Linked DNA regions of Diceros bicornis minor. The protein of the gene in region 2 purifies or fractionates together with the protein of the main gene of each other region. This does not show direct contact. Links are inferred from orthologs where the notes say so. Each region holds a gene or a part of one and is shown on either strand. Other genes may lie near its edges.

What was found. Proteins that work in one complex are often made in the same cells at the same time.
Region 1: the proteins of cytochrome c oxidase assembly factor 3 homolog, mitochondrial (region 2) and COX1 purify together in Homo sapiens (affinity purification with western blotting; 3 studies listed by BioGRID and IntAct, with this or other methods). This does not show direct contact. The link is inferred for Diceros bicornis minor from reciprocal best matches to the Homo sapiens genes COA3 and COX1.

The regions. Positions count from the first base shown.
Region 1 is NC_012682.1:983-7,404, forward strand, and holds COX1 (cytochrome c oxidase subunit I), read left to right. Parts: upstream 1-4,368; coding exon 4,369-5,913; downstream 5,914-6,422. Other genes in the region: COX2 (cytochrome c oxidase subunit II), read left to right, coding at 6,060-6,422. UniProt on the Homo sapiens protein: Component of the cytochrome c oxidase, the last enzyme in the mitochondrial electron transport chain which drives oxidative phosphorylation.
Region 2 is NC_080757.1:41,815,060-41,820,998, reverse strand, and holds cytochrome c oxidase assembly factor 3 homolog, mitochondrial, read left to right. Parts: upstream 1-4,282; 5' UTR 4,283-4,306; coding exon 4,307-4,520; intron 4,521-4,874; coding exon 4,875-4,981; 3' UTR 4,982-5,419; downstream 5,420-5,939. Other genes in the region: CNTD1 (cyclin N-terminal domain-containing protein 1), read right to left, coding at 201-276, 3,765-3,924. UniProt on the Homo sapiens protein: Core component of the MITRAC (mitochondrial translation regulation assembly intermediate of cytochrome c oxidase complex) complex, that regulates cytochrome c oxidase assembly.

The sequences.
Region 1 (6,422 bases), on a different chromosome or scaffold from region 2:
TATAAAAGGAGACAAGTCGTAACAAGGTAAGCGTACTGGAAAGTGCGCTTGGACAATCAAAGTGTAGCTTAAACAAAGCACCTAGCTTACACCCAGGAGATTTCACACAAAATGACCACTTTGAACCAAAGCTAGCCCAAACAGACCCCAATCCAACTATTACAAACCTACCTAAACAAAACATTTACCCAAACCTATTAAAGTATAGGAGATAGAAATTTTTAACTGGCGCTATAGAGAAAGTACCGCAAGGGAACGATGAAAGAAGTCTTAAAAGTACTAAACAGCAAAGCTTACCCCTTTTACCTTTTGCATAATGATTTAACTAGAACAGTTTTAGCAAAGAGAACTTAAGTTAAACTTCCCGAAACCAGACGAGCTACCTACGAACAGCCCCAAAACGAACGAACTCATCTATGTCGCAAAATAGTGAGAAGATTTATAGGTAGAGGTGAAAAGCCTATCGAGCCTGGTGATAGCTGGTTGTCCAAAACAGAATGTAAGTTCAAATCTAAATTTACCTAAAAGCCCCACAACTCCAATGTAAATTTAAATTATACTCTAAAGGGGTACAGCTCTTTAGACACAGGCTACAACCTTCATTAGAGAGTAAGATCTAGATCACACATAGTTGGCCTAAAAGCAGCCACCAATTAAGAAAGCGTCCAAGCTCAACAGCACAGCTACCTTAATCTCAACAACAACTAACTAACTCCTAATTTAATATTGGACTAATCTATCAACAAATAGAAGCAATAATGTTAATATGAGTAACAAGAATTATTTCTCCTCGCATAAGCCTATATCAGAACGAATAATCACTGATAGTTAACAACAAAATAGATATAATCTAACAATAAATCATCTATTAAACTAACTGTTAACCCAACACAGGCATGCACTTTAAAGGAAAGATTAAAAAAAGTAAAAGGAACTCGGCAAACACAAACCCCGCCTGTTTACCAAAAACATCACCTCCAGCATATCTAGTATTAGAGGCACTGCCTGCCCAGTGACATCTGTTTCAACGGCCGCGGTATCCTAACCGTGCAAAGGTAGCGTAATCACTTGTTCCCTAAATAGGGACCTGTATGAATGGCCACACGAGGGTTTTACTGTCTCTTACTTTCAATCAGTGAAATTGACCTTCCCGTGAAGAGGCGGGAATGACACAATAAGACGAGAAGACCCTATGGAGCTTTAATTAGCTAATTCACAAAAATAAAATCTCTAACCTACATCCAAGGGATAACAAAACTTTGACTGAATCAGCAATTTCGGTTGGGGTGACCTCGGAGAACAAATCAACCTCCGAGTGATTAAATTCCAGACTTACCAGTCAAAAATATCACATCACTTATTGATCCAAACTATTGATCAACGGAACAAGTTACCCTAGGGATAACAGCGCAATCCTATTCTAGAGTCCATATCGACAATAGGGTTTACGACCTCGATGTTGGATCAGGACACCCCAATGGTGCAACCGCTATTAATGGTTCGTTTGTTCAACGATTAAAGTCCTACGTGATCTGAGTTCAGACCGGAGTAATCCAGGTCGGTTTCTATCTATTCAATACTTCTCCCAGTACGAAAGGAAAAGAGAAATAAGGCCCACTTCACAAAAGCGCCTTCAAACCAATAGATGATATAATCTCAATCTAATTAATTTATACATAACATTGCCCTAGACCAGGGCCACGTTAGGATGGCAGAGCCCGGCAATTGCATAAAACTTAAACCTTTATAACCAGAGGTTCAACTCCTCTTCCTAACAACATGTTCACAATTAACATTCTCCTCCTAGTCATCCCAATCCTACTCGCCGTAGCATTCCTTACACTAGTTGAACGGAAAGTACTAGGCTACATACAACTTCGAAAAGGACCAAACATTGTAGGCCCCTATGGCCTACTCCAACCAATTGCCGACGCAATCAAACTATTCACTAAAGAACCACTACAACCATCAACATCATCAACAACCATATTTATCATTGCCCCAATCTTAGCTCTAACCCTAGCCCTAACAATATGAATTCCATTACCAATACCATATCCCCTAATCAACATAAACCTAGGAATCCTGTTCATACTTGCCATATCAAGCCTAGCCGTCTACTCCATCCTATGATCAGGATGGGCTTCAAACTCAAAATATGCACTAATTGGAGCCCTACGAGCAGTAGCCCAAACAATCTCATACGAAGTAACTCTAGCAATTATCCTTCTCTCCGTACTACTAATAAATGGGTCATTTACACTATCCACACTAATCACCACCCAAGAACACCTATGACTAATCTTCCCATCATGACCACTAACCATAATATGATTTATCTCAACACTAGCAGAAACCAACCGAGCTCCCTTCGACCTAACAGAAGGAGAATCAGAATTAGTATCTGGCTTCAATGTCGAATACGCAGCCGGCCCATTCGCCCTATTTTTCATAGCAGAGTACGCAAACATTATTATAATAAACGCTTTCACTACCATCCTATTTCTAGGAGCATTCCACAACCCCTACATATCAGAACTATACACAATCAACTTCACTACTAAAACCCTACTACTAACCACATCCTTTCTATGAATCCGAGCATCCTATCCACGATTCCGATACGATCAACTCATACACCTTCTGTGAAAAAATTTCCTACCCCTCACTCTAGCACTATGCATATGACATGTATCACTACCAATCACAACATCAAGCATCCCCCCACAAACATAAGAAATATGTCTGACAAAAGAATTACTTTGATAGAGTAAACAATAGAGGTTCAAGTCCTCTTATTTCTAAAACGATAGGAATTGAACCTACTCTTAAGAACTCAAAAATCTCCGTGCTACCAAAATACACCACATTCTACAAGTAAGGTCAGCTAAACAAGCTATCGGGCCCATACCCCGAAAATGTTGGATTATACCCTTCCCGTACTAATAAACCCAATTGTTTTCTCAACCATCTTGACAACCGCCATCCTAGGGACTATAATTGTAATAACAAGCTCACACTGATTAATAATCTGAATCGGCTTCGAAATAAACCTATTAGCCATCATCCCCATCCTAATAAAAAATTTTAACCCACGAGCCATAGAAGCAGCAACCAAATACTTCCTAACACAAACCACCGCATCAATACTCCTCATAATAGCAATCATCATCAACCTTATATTCTCAGGCCAATGGACAATCACAAAAATCTTCAATCCAACAGCATCTATCATTATAACATCAGCTCTCGTCATAAAACTCGGACTTTCCCCATTCCACTTCTGAGTACCCGAAGTTACCCAAGGCATTTCACTAATATCTGGCCTAATCCTGCTCACATGACAAAAACTAGCACCAATATCAGTCCTATACCAAATTGCACCTTCCATTAACCCAAATATACTAATGGCTACGGCCCTCCTTTCTATCCTAGTAGGAGGGTGAGGAGGCCTCAACCAAACTCAACTACGAAAAATCATAGCATACTCATCAATTGCCCATATAGGATGAATAACAGCTATTCTAATATATAACCCAACAATAACAATACTCAACATGCTAATCTACATCATAATAACACTCACTACATTCATATTATTTATACTCAACTCCTCAACCACAATACTATCACTCTCCCTCACATGAAACAAAACACCCCTAATTACCTCGCTCATCCTAATCACCATACTATCACTAGGAGGTCTACCACCACTATCCGGGTTCATCCCCAAATGAATAATCATTCAAGAACTAACAAAAAATGACAGCATCATCCTACCAACATCCATAGCCATTATAGCCCTACTCAACCTATACTTCTATATACGCCTAACCTACTCCACCTCACTAACAATATTCCCATCAATAAACAACATAAAAATAAAATGACAATTTGAAAACTCAAAACGAATAAATTTCCTACCTACACTAATCATCATATCAACCTTGCTCCTCCCACTAACACCAATCATATCCATTCTGAACTAGGAATTTAGGTTACACCAGACCAAGAGCCTTCAAAGCCCTAAGCAAGTATAAATCACTTAATTCCTGCCAACTAAGGGCTGCAAGACTCTATCTTACATCAACTGAATGCAAATCAAACACTTTAATTAAGCTAAACCCTCCCTAGATTGGTGGGCCACTATCCCACGAAATTTTAGTTAACAGCTAAATACCCTAATCAACTGGCTTCAATCTACTTCTCCCGCCGCTCAGGAAAAAGGCGGGAGAAGCCCCGGCAGAATTGAAGCTGCTTCTCTGAATTTGCAATTCAACATGAAATTCACCACAGGGCCTGGCAAAAAGAGGGCTACAACCTCTGTCTTTAGATTTACAGTCTAATGCTATCTCAGCCATTTTACCTATGTTCATCAACCGCTGACTATTTTCAACCAACCACAAAGACATTGGCACTCTTTACCTATTATTTGGCGCTTGAGCTGGAATAGTGGGAACCGCCCTAAGCCTTCTAATTCGCGCTGAACTGGGTCAACCTGGAACCTTACTAGGAGACGACCAAATCTATAACGTAATTGTAACCGCTCATGCGTTCGTAATAATTTTCTTTATAGTTATGCCCATCATAATCGGAGGATTCGGAAACTGGCTAGTCCCCTTAATAATTGGGGCACCCGACATAGCATTCCCGCGAATAAACAATATAAGTTTCTGACTTCTCCCACCATCATTTCTTCTTCTACTCGCATCCTCGATAGTCGAAGCCGGTGCCGGGACAGGCTGAACTGTTTATCCGCCCTTAGCTGGAAATCTAGCCCACGCAGGAGCCTCTGTTGACCTAACCATCTTCTCCCTACACCTAGCCGGAGTATCCTCAATTCTAGGTGCCATTAATTTTATTACCACAATTATTAATATAAAACCACCAGCCATATCCCAATATCAAACGCCCCTATTCGTGTGATCCGTTTTAATTACAGCTGTACTCCTATTACTAGCACTTCCAGTCTTAGCAGCAGGAATTACCATGCTACTAACAGACCGTAACCTGAACACTACTTTCTTCGACCCAGCAGGGGGAGGCGACCCAATCTTATACCAACACCTCTTTTGATTTTTCGGCCACCCTGAAGTCTATATTCTAATCCTACCAGGCTTTGGAATAATCTCACATATTGTTACATATTACTCAGGAAAAAAAGAACCTTTCGGCTATATAGGAATAGTCTGAGCTATAATATCTATCGGATTCCTAGGATTCATTGTATGAGCCCACCACATATTTACTGTTGGCATGGACGTTGACACACGAGCATACTTCACATCCGCCACTATAATCATCGCTATTCCCACTGGCGTAAAAGTATTCAGCTGATTAGCTACCCTTCATGGAGGAAACATCAAATGATCACCAGCTATACTATGGGCCCTAGGCTTTATTTTCTTATTCACAGTGGGAGGCTTAACAGGGATTGTTTTAGCCAACTCATCATTAGATATCGTACTTCACGACACATACTACGTAGTAGCACATTTCCACTATGTTTTATCTATAGGAGCAGTTTTTGCTATCATAGGAGGGTTCGTCCACTGATTCCCCCTATTCTCAGGATACACACTCAACCAAACCTGAGCAAAAATCCACTTCATAATTATATTCGTAGGAGTGAATATAACCTTCTTTCCACAGCACTTCCTTGGTCTCTCAGGGATGCCACGTCGCTACTCAGACTACCCAGATGCATACACAACATGAAACACTATCTCCTCTATAGGGTCCTTCATCTCGCTTACAGCAGTAATACTTATAGTCTTTATAATTTGAGAAGCATTCGCATCTAAACGAGAGGTATCAACAGTAGAACTAACCACCTCTAACCTTGAATGGCTACACGGATGCCCTCCCCCATATCATACATTCGAAGAGCCTGTCTACGTAAACCTAAAATAAGAAAGGAAGGAATTGAACCCCCTCTAACTGGTTTCAAGCCAATATCATAACCTCTATGTCTTTCTCTCTCCCAATAAATGAGATATTAGTAAAAATTACATAACTTTGTCAAAGTTAAGTTATAGATTAAGCCTCTATATATCTCTATGGCCTACCCGCTCCAACTAGGATTTCAAGACGCAACATCCCCTATCATAGAAGAACTACTTCACTTTCACGACCACACATTAATGATTGTATTCCTAATTAGTTCTTTAGTATTATACATTATTTCACTCATGCTAACAACTAAACTAACACACACAAGCACTATAGACGCACAAGAAGTAGAGACTATTTGAACCATCCTACCGGCTATTATCCTAATCCTAATTGCCCTCCCATCGCTACGAATCCTCTATATAATAGATGAGATCAATAACCCCTCCCTAACCGTTAAAACTATAGGGCATCAATGATACTGAAGTTATGAATACACAGACTACGAAGACCTAACCTTTGACTCCTAC
Region 2 (5,939 bases):
AGGGAGTTAGTGCTTCAAACTATGCTGTGTCTTATCCTCTCCAATATCAATTGCTGGCTAAGAAATTTACATTTGCAGGTAATAGAAGGTGTAAAACCAGGCCTCGTGGGAAGGGGCGACTAGTACTTTTTTTAAAGGTTTGGGTACATTAGCCATTCTGAGAGTTACCACCCACAAAGGCTGTGTGCTCAGGGCTTTACCTTTCTAGGATTTCTACAGCCTGGTAGCTCACAGATTTCTCCAGACACCATTGTTCAGACAGGAGAAAAACAAACTCTGCCAAAACAGGAAAGAATAGCCTAATTCACAAGGTGCAACCAAAACCACTCTGTGAACTCTTGGCATTGTGTAAAAGCCATGGTGGGGCCAAGGGAAGAGGGTCAGGAGGTGAGAAAGATGAGACTGAAACAACTCAAGCTGAGCTTAGTTCCCTATGCTGCCAATAGGCAGATCAGAGGTATGAAAAGGAGGCTGACAGAGTGCCAAAGACAAGGGCTTACCAAGGCCCCTCAGTGATCCTTGAGCCTTCCTGTGGGTCTCAGCTGATAAAAGGTTTGGCCAGCTACACACAAACATACCAGCTGGTCTAGTTGGCCTCTACACCATGCTGGGAACCCCCAGCTTCAAGGGAGATTCTTGGATGGATAAAAACCCTAACCCCTATATTCTGTTTTCAGTGGAATGTTGACAGGAACAGAAAGGTCCCTCCTGGAGCTTCAATATTCTTTATAACACTGTTTGTTTAGTAACCACCCTCTGGAGAACTCCCATTGCTTTACAAACACCATTCGCCTTACAGCTGGACACCATCTCTCCAACCCCCGTTTGTTGGGTAAATCTTTGGCGGCTGAGCCTCTCCCCAGGAGCAAGTTTGGTACTGTGGAGTGGCTTGTTTTGAAGAAGCATCCGCTAAATCAGGGAACATAGCCCACTTTGGGGAGGGGAGGGTCATTGGGAAGATACCTTGGCAAGATTTGGGCTGCCTGTTTCTCTTTGAAAGAACAGCCCCAGATAGTATTCTATTTAGTTTGCAATATCATTAGAGGGTGGAAACAAGAGTAAATGTTAGTTCTTAACAAAGAAAGCTCCTACAGAACTAGGAACTTTTAGCTCTGATAAGCAAAGAATTACACAGTCAGATTACCATATGTCTTCAGAGAAAATTTGACTTACGAAAAAAGAAAATTATAAAAGTCAAGTTAGCACAAGACACTTTAACAATCTACTCGACACGTTACACATGGATAAATGTACAAAACCTTATCATTACAGACATTAAAGCTCTGCTAGCAGTGTCCAGTGCAGAAGAGAATTAGTTAAGCAATTAAGCAAAATACCCTAGAACACATAATTGTGTGTTATCAGCCAGTCCTTTTATTTGCTGGAGTTTAGCCCTTATTTCTTTGTCTTGTTTTTTTATGTGCATGTAGTTGTTTGGTTTTGTTTTGGTTTTTGTCTGAATTATCCGGGCAGTTGTTTCTATTTTCCATTTTAATTTGCCAAGAAAACTGAGCTTGAATTAGGGGGAATGGATGAGGGTTACACGTCTCCCTCAGTGCTGGCTCCACCTCCTGCACTTATAAACATACTCAGATCTGCTATTAACTGAAAGGCCCCCCTTCTATCGTCTTAAGCTAGGGCTCTATCTCACTAGTTTCCATCACTGTTAAATTTCTTGAAAGCCTTGCTTACACCTGCTGCTTATACTTCATCATTCACCCCCTAATGTTCTGCAATTTGACTTCTAGTTTTCCCAACTTGCTGAAATGATTATCTCAAAGGTCAGCAAATATATCCAAATTGTTCAATTTCATGGCCCTTTTGCAATCCTCATTCCCGTTGTTCATATCGCCGAAGCGTCTGAAACTGCTGACCATCATCCTTCTTGAAACTCTCCTCTTGGCTTCCAAAGGTCCCTTGATTCTGTTCCTATCTCCCCAACCACTCCTTTTATTTCCTTCATGGCTCTTCTTCCTAATCCAATTCCCTGAACACAAAATGTTTCCCAAGGAACTGTCCTTGACCTGCTTCTCTCTTCTCTCTCTAGGAGCTCATCCTCTGCCACAGTTTCAACAGTATCCTTATGGAGATAACTCCCAAACCTTTATCTCTAGTTCTGACCTCTCTTCTGACAGTTGTTAAACAGCCCAAAGAAACCTTCCTTTAGGGCCGGCCCCGTGGCTTAGTGGTTAAGTGCGCGCGCTCCGCTACTGGTGGCCCAGGTTCGGATCCCGGGCACGCACCGACGCACCGCTTCTCTGGCCATGCTGAGGCCGCGTCCCACATACGGCAACTAGAAGGATGTGCAACTGTGACATACAGCTATCTACTGGGGCTTTGGGGAAAAAAACGAGGAGGATTGGGAATAGATGTTAGCTCAAGGGGTGATCTTCCTCACAAAAAAAAAAAAAAGCGGCGGGGGGGGGGGTTAATGAAGCCTTCCTCTAGATGTTCTACAAGCACCTGAAACTGAGTTGATCCAAAACCAAAGCTATGGTCTTTCTCAAACAAAAGTCACATTTCCTCCTGTTTTATTTTTTTAATGTACATGTAGGGGCCGCCCGGTGGCGTAGCGGTAAAGTTCACGCACTCAGCTTCTGCGGCCCAGGGTTTGCCGGTTTGGAGCCTGGGCACGGACCTACTTGCCGCTCATCAAGCCATGCTCTGGCGGTATCCCATATACAAAATGGAGGAAGATTGGCACAGATGTTAGCTCAGGGACACTCTCCCTCACCAAAAAAAAAAAAAAAAAGAATGTGTATGTTTCTCTTAATGGCACCACTATACTCCCAGTCTCCTAGGATCGACCCTTTGGCATAGTAATCTTTGCCTTCTTCACTTCTTAAATTCATCCATTGCAGAACCCTAGACTTCACCTCTGAAATGTTTCTAATCCATCCTCCCTTGTCATTCTCTCTGCCCTATCACCTAAACTACTAATACTGACTCCACTGGTCTACCTACCTCCCCTCTCTCTCTACTCCAATCCATCCTTTACCTCACAGCCAAAATAATTTTTTCTAAGGAAAAGGTTATAGTCATATCACTCCCATATTTAAAAACCTTCAATGCCTTCTTGTTTTCCTACTAAGCCAAGTATAGCATTCAGAGTTCCACATGGAGTGTCTCCAAACTACCTCTCTAGTCTTAATTTCCACTATTCCACATGCTCTGGCCAACCTGCGGCATTGTACTCACCGTATTGGACTTCCTATCGTACTTCCCTATTTCCATGGCTTTACTCATGCTATCCCCTTCTGGTAGAAACGCTATCCCCCTTCTGCACCTTCTCCAACCAAAATGTCATCCTTCCTTCAAAGCCTACCTCAAAAGCCATGAGGCCTGGAGGACTCCTTTAATTCTTCTTGCCCCCACCTCACTCCATCACTCCTCTCAATCCAGATAAAAGCTTTTTCAGGTAAAAGCTTGTTTTATCTGGTATGTCAGGTATCTAACCATACTTGTACCTATTCACTTGCAGATTTGTCCTAATATCCTCCAAAGATCATACATGGTTTGAGAGCAGGGACTAGATCTCTATTTCATCTTTCTATCTCAGGCAGTGTGGATAACAGGTATGCATGCTGAAATCAAGGGCAGGGTGCTGGGGTGTCTTGTTCATCACTATATCCCCAGCACCTGGAACAGAGTAGGGACTAACAAGACTTATTTGAATGAATAAAGTAAACTGAATGTCAAGGCCGGCGCCTCAAAGACAGATGCCCAGACTCCCATAACCCCGGCTCCCTGCCCTGCATCCACACCCACGATCCGGGTCTCCCTGAAGCTGCCCGTCCAGCCGGCAGCCTCCCGCACCGCTTGCTCATTCTGCTGGGCCAAGTGGAGCAGAGCGTCTTCGATCGTCTCGGTGGTCACGGCTCCAAACTGAAAGTCACCGAGGGAGGCCAATCTTGGTCCGTCCATTTTCAGAAGCCTTTTCGGGCACCCGGATAGCTCACTGGATCTTAAACTGACCCCCTTAGTTTCTCTCTAGAGTCTTCTGCCACACGCTGGATTCCTCGTCCCCGTCTGTGTGCTTGTCCTCGCCTCAAGTCTGAGGAAAACCCAATTCCCACCACAGCCTCGAGCCCTCAACAGCCTTTTCCCGCCCCAACGGCCGCGGACCCCTCAGCCAATCAGAAAGCACGGCCTCTACCCGTCTCCCCCGCCCTTTCCCTAAGCGCGGAGAGCCGCACTCTGTCGGTAAAAGAAAGGCGAACTACAACTCCCAGCTTTCCCTGCGGCAGCCAAGGACTGCTTCCCAGCAGTCCTCGCGTCCTGGGACTGGGAAGGGTGGAGCGGCAACATGGCGGCGTCGGGACCTGGTGGCCCTCTCGATGCTAAGAGTGGAGAGGCCCCTCCGGCTCGGCGCATCGACCCGACTCGGGAGAAGCTGACTCCCGCGCAACTGCAATTCATGCGGCAGGTGCAGCTCGCCCAGTGGCAGAAGACGCTGCCACAGCGGCGGACCCGGAACATCATCACCGGCTTGGGCATCGGGGCCCTGGTGTTAGCTATTTGTATCCGTCCGCACTGTAGACTCAGGGAGACCGCAAATGGGGGCAGGGGAAGGGGAGCTGAAGCATGGAGGAGGGCGGTGTGGGGGTGGCAGAGAGAACCTGAGCTGTGAAAGTCTTGGCTACTTCTAACGTAGAGCCAAGCGTTTAATGTGCCTTACTTTGTCATTTTAAGGTGCTCTTTTAGTATAATTTGTTAATAATAACAGAGTCGGGGTCAGGGCTCAGAAGAGCAGAGGGCAGGAGGTCGAATCACTCATTTGGGAGGATGAGAGATTAACAAGGGCGGTGGAGCAAATCTAGGAAAAGGGAATGTGCATACATATTTTAAGTGGCTTCCTGAACCCACCTCCCCAGATGGTTACACCTTCTACTCGGTGTCCCAGGAGCGTTTTCTAGATGAGCTGGAGGATGAGGTCAAAGCTGCTCGAGCCCGGGCTCTGGAAAGGACATCAGGACCCTAATCCAGATGGACATCGCACATCTCCAACCTGCTGGAGCCCCTTCATGTGATGGATGTTGCTCCTTGACCCTGTAGAAATGGAAGCCTTCTGATAGCATCGCTGCCCTAACTAACGTTGGATGATGACTGAGCCCAAGAAGCCAGGGATTTATGCATTTGGCCATCGTCAAGAGAACATTGCCCACCTCACACTCACTGTGTGTGGCGACTGAGCCCTTCTTGTAGTTCCTTTCCTTGTTTGAGAGGTATCTGACCTTAGCTTTTCCCAGGTTTTCTGACTTTGTGGTTTATCCCTTTCACCTACCAGGGACTGGGAGGATGGAGGATCAGAGGTGGGCTGTTAATGGGGGATAGGTGTGGCAGCTCTGTGCAGTGTTGGAGCCTAAAGTGGGAAGAATGGGGTCAGGTTGAGAATAAAAACTGAGTCATCTCTCTTGGAGTCAAATGAGTGTGTTGGGGCTGACACTTCATACTGGAAAGCTCCGTAAGCAGTAGCTGCAGCAGTGGTATTGCCCCAGGTAGCCGTAAATGTTTAACCAGAATTACTTTTTCCATGAGATCTTTCCACCTGATTTAAGGGCAACATCATGGTGGGTCACTGGACTGTTTGCAACTGAACCATGTTTTGGGGGAAGGAAGGTCACTCTTCTGTCCTCTACCCTCAAGAGCAACACACTACTCCAACTTTACTGCCTTTTCCCATCCCGAGACAGAGAGAGAGAGGCAGATGAAGGGTGATGGACAAGCAGCTTTTTTTAACTTCCACAGAGGCCTGTTTGTGTAGGCCAAAGGTGGGGTCTGGATGGGATCTTAGCTTGGTCAAGTGGATCATTAACCTTGCAGTTTCCTCATGAACTGCTGGCAGGACGCCAGAAGTCTGGGCAGCTTCTACCCGTGCCTGCCATTGTGAGGGGAGAGTCCCTTCTAAATCCTCCCGCCTTACCCCACAAGGCTTTGCC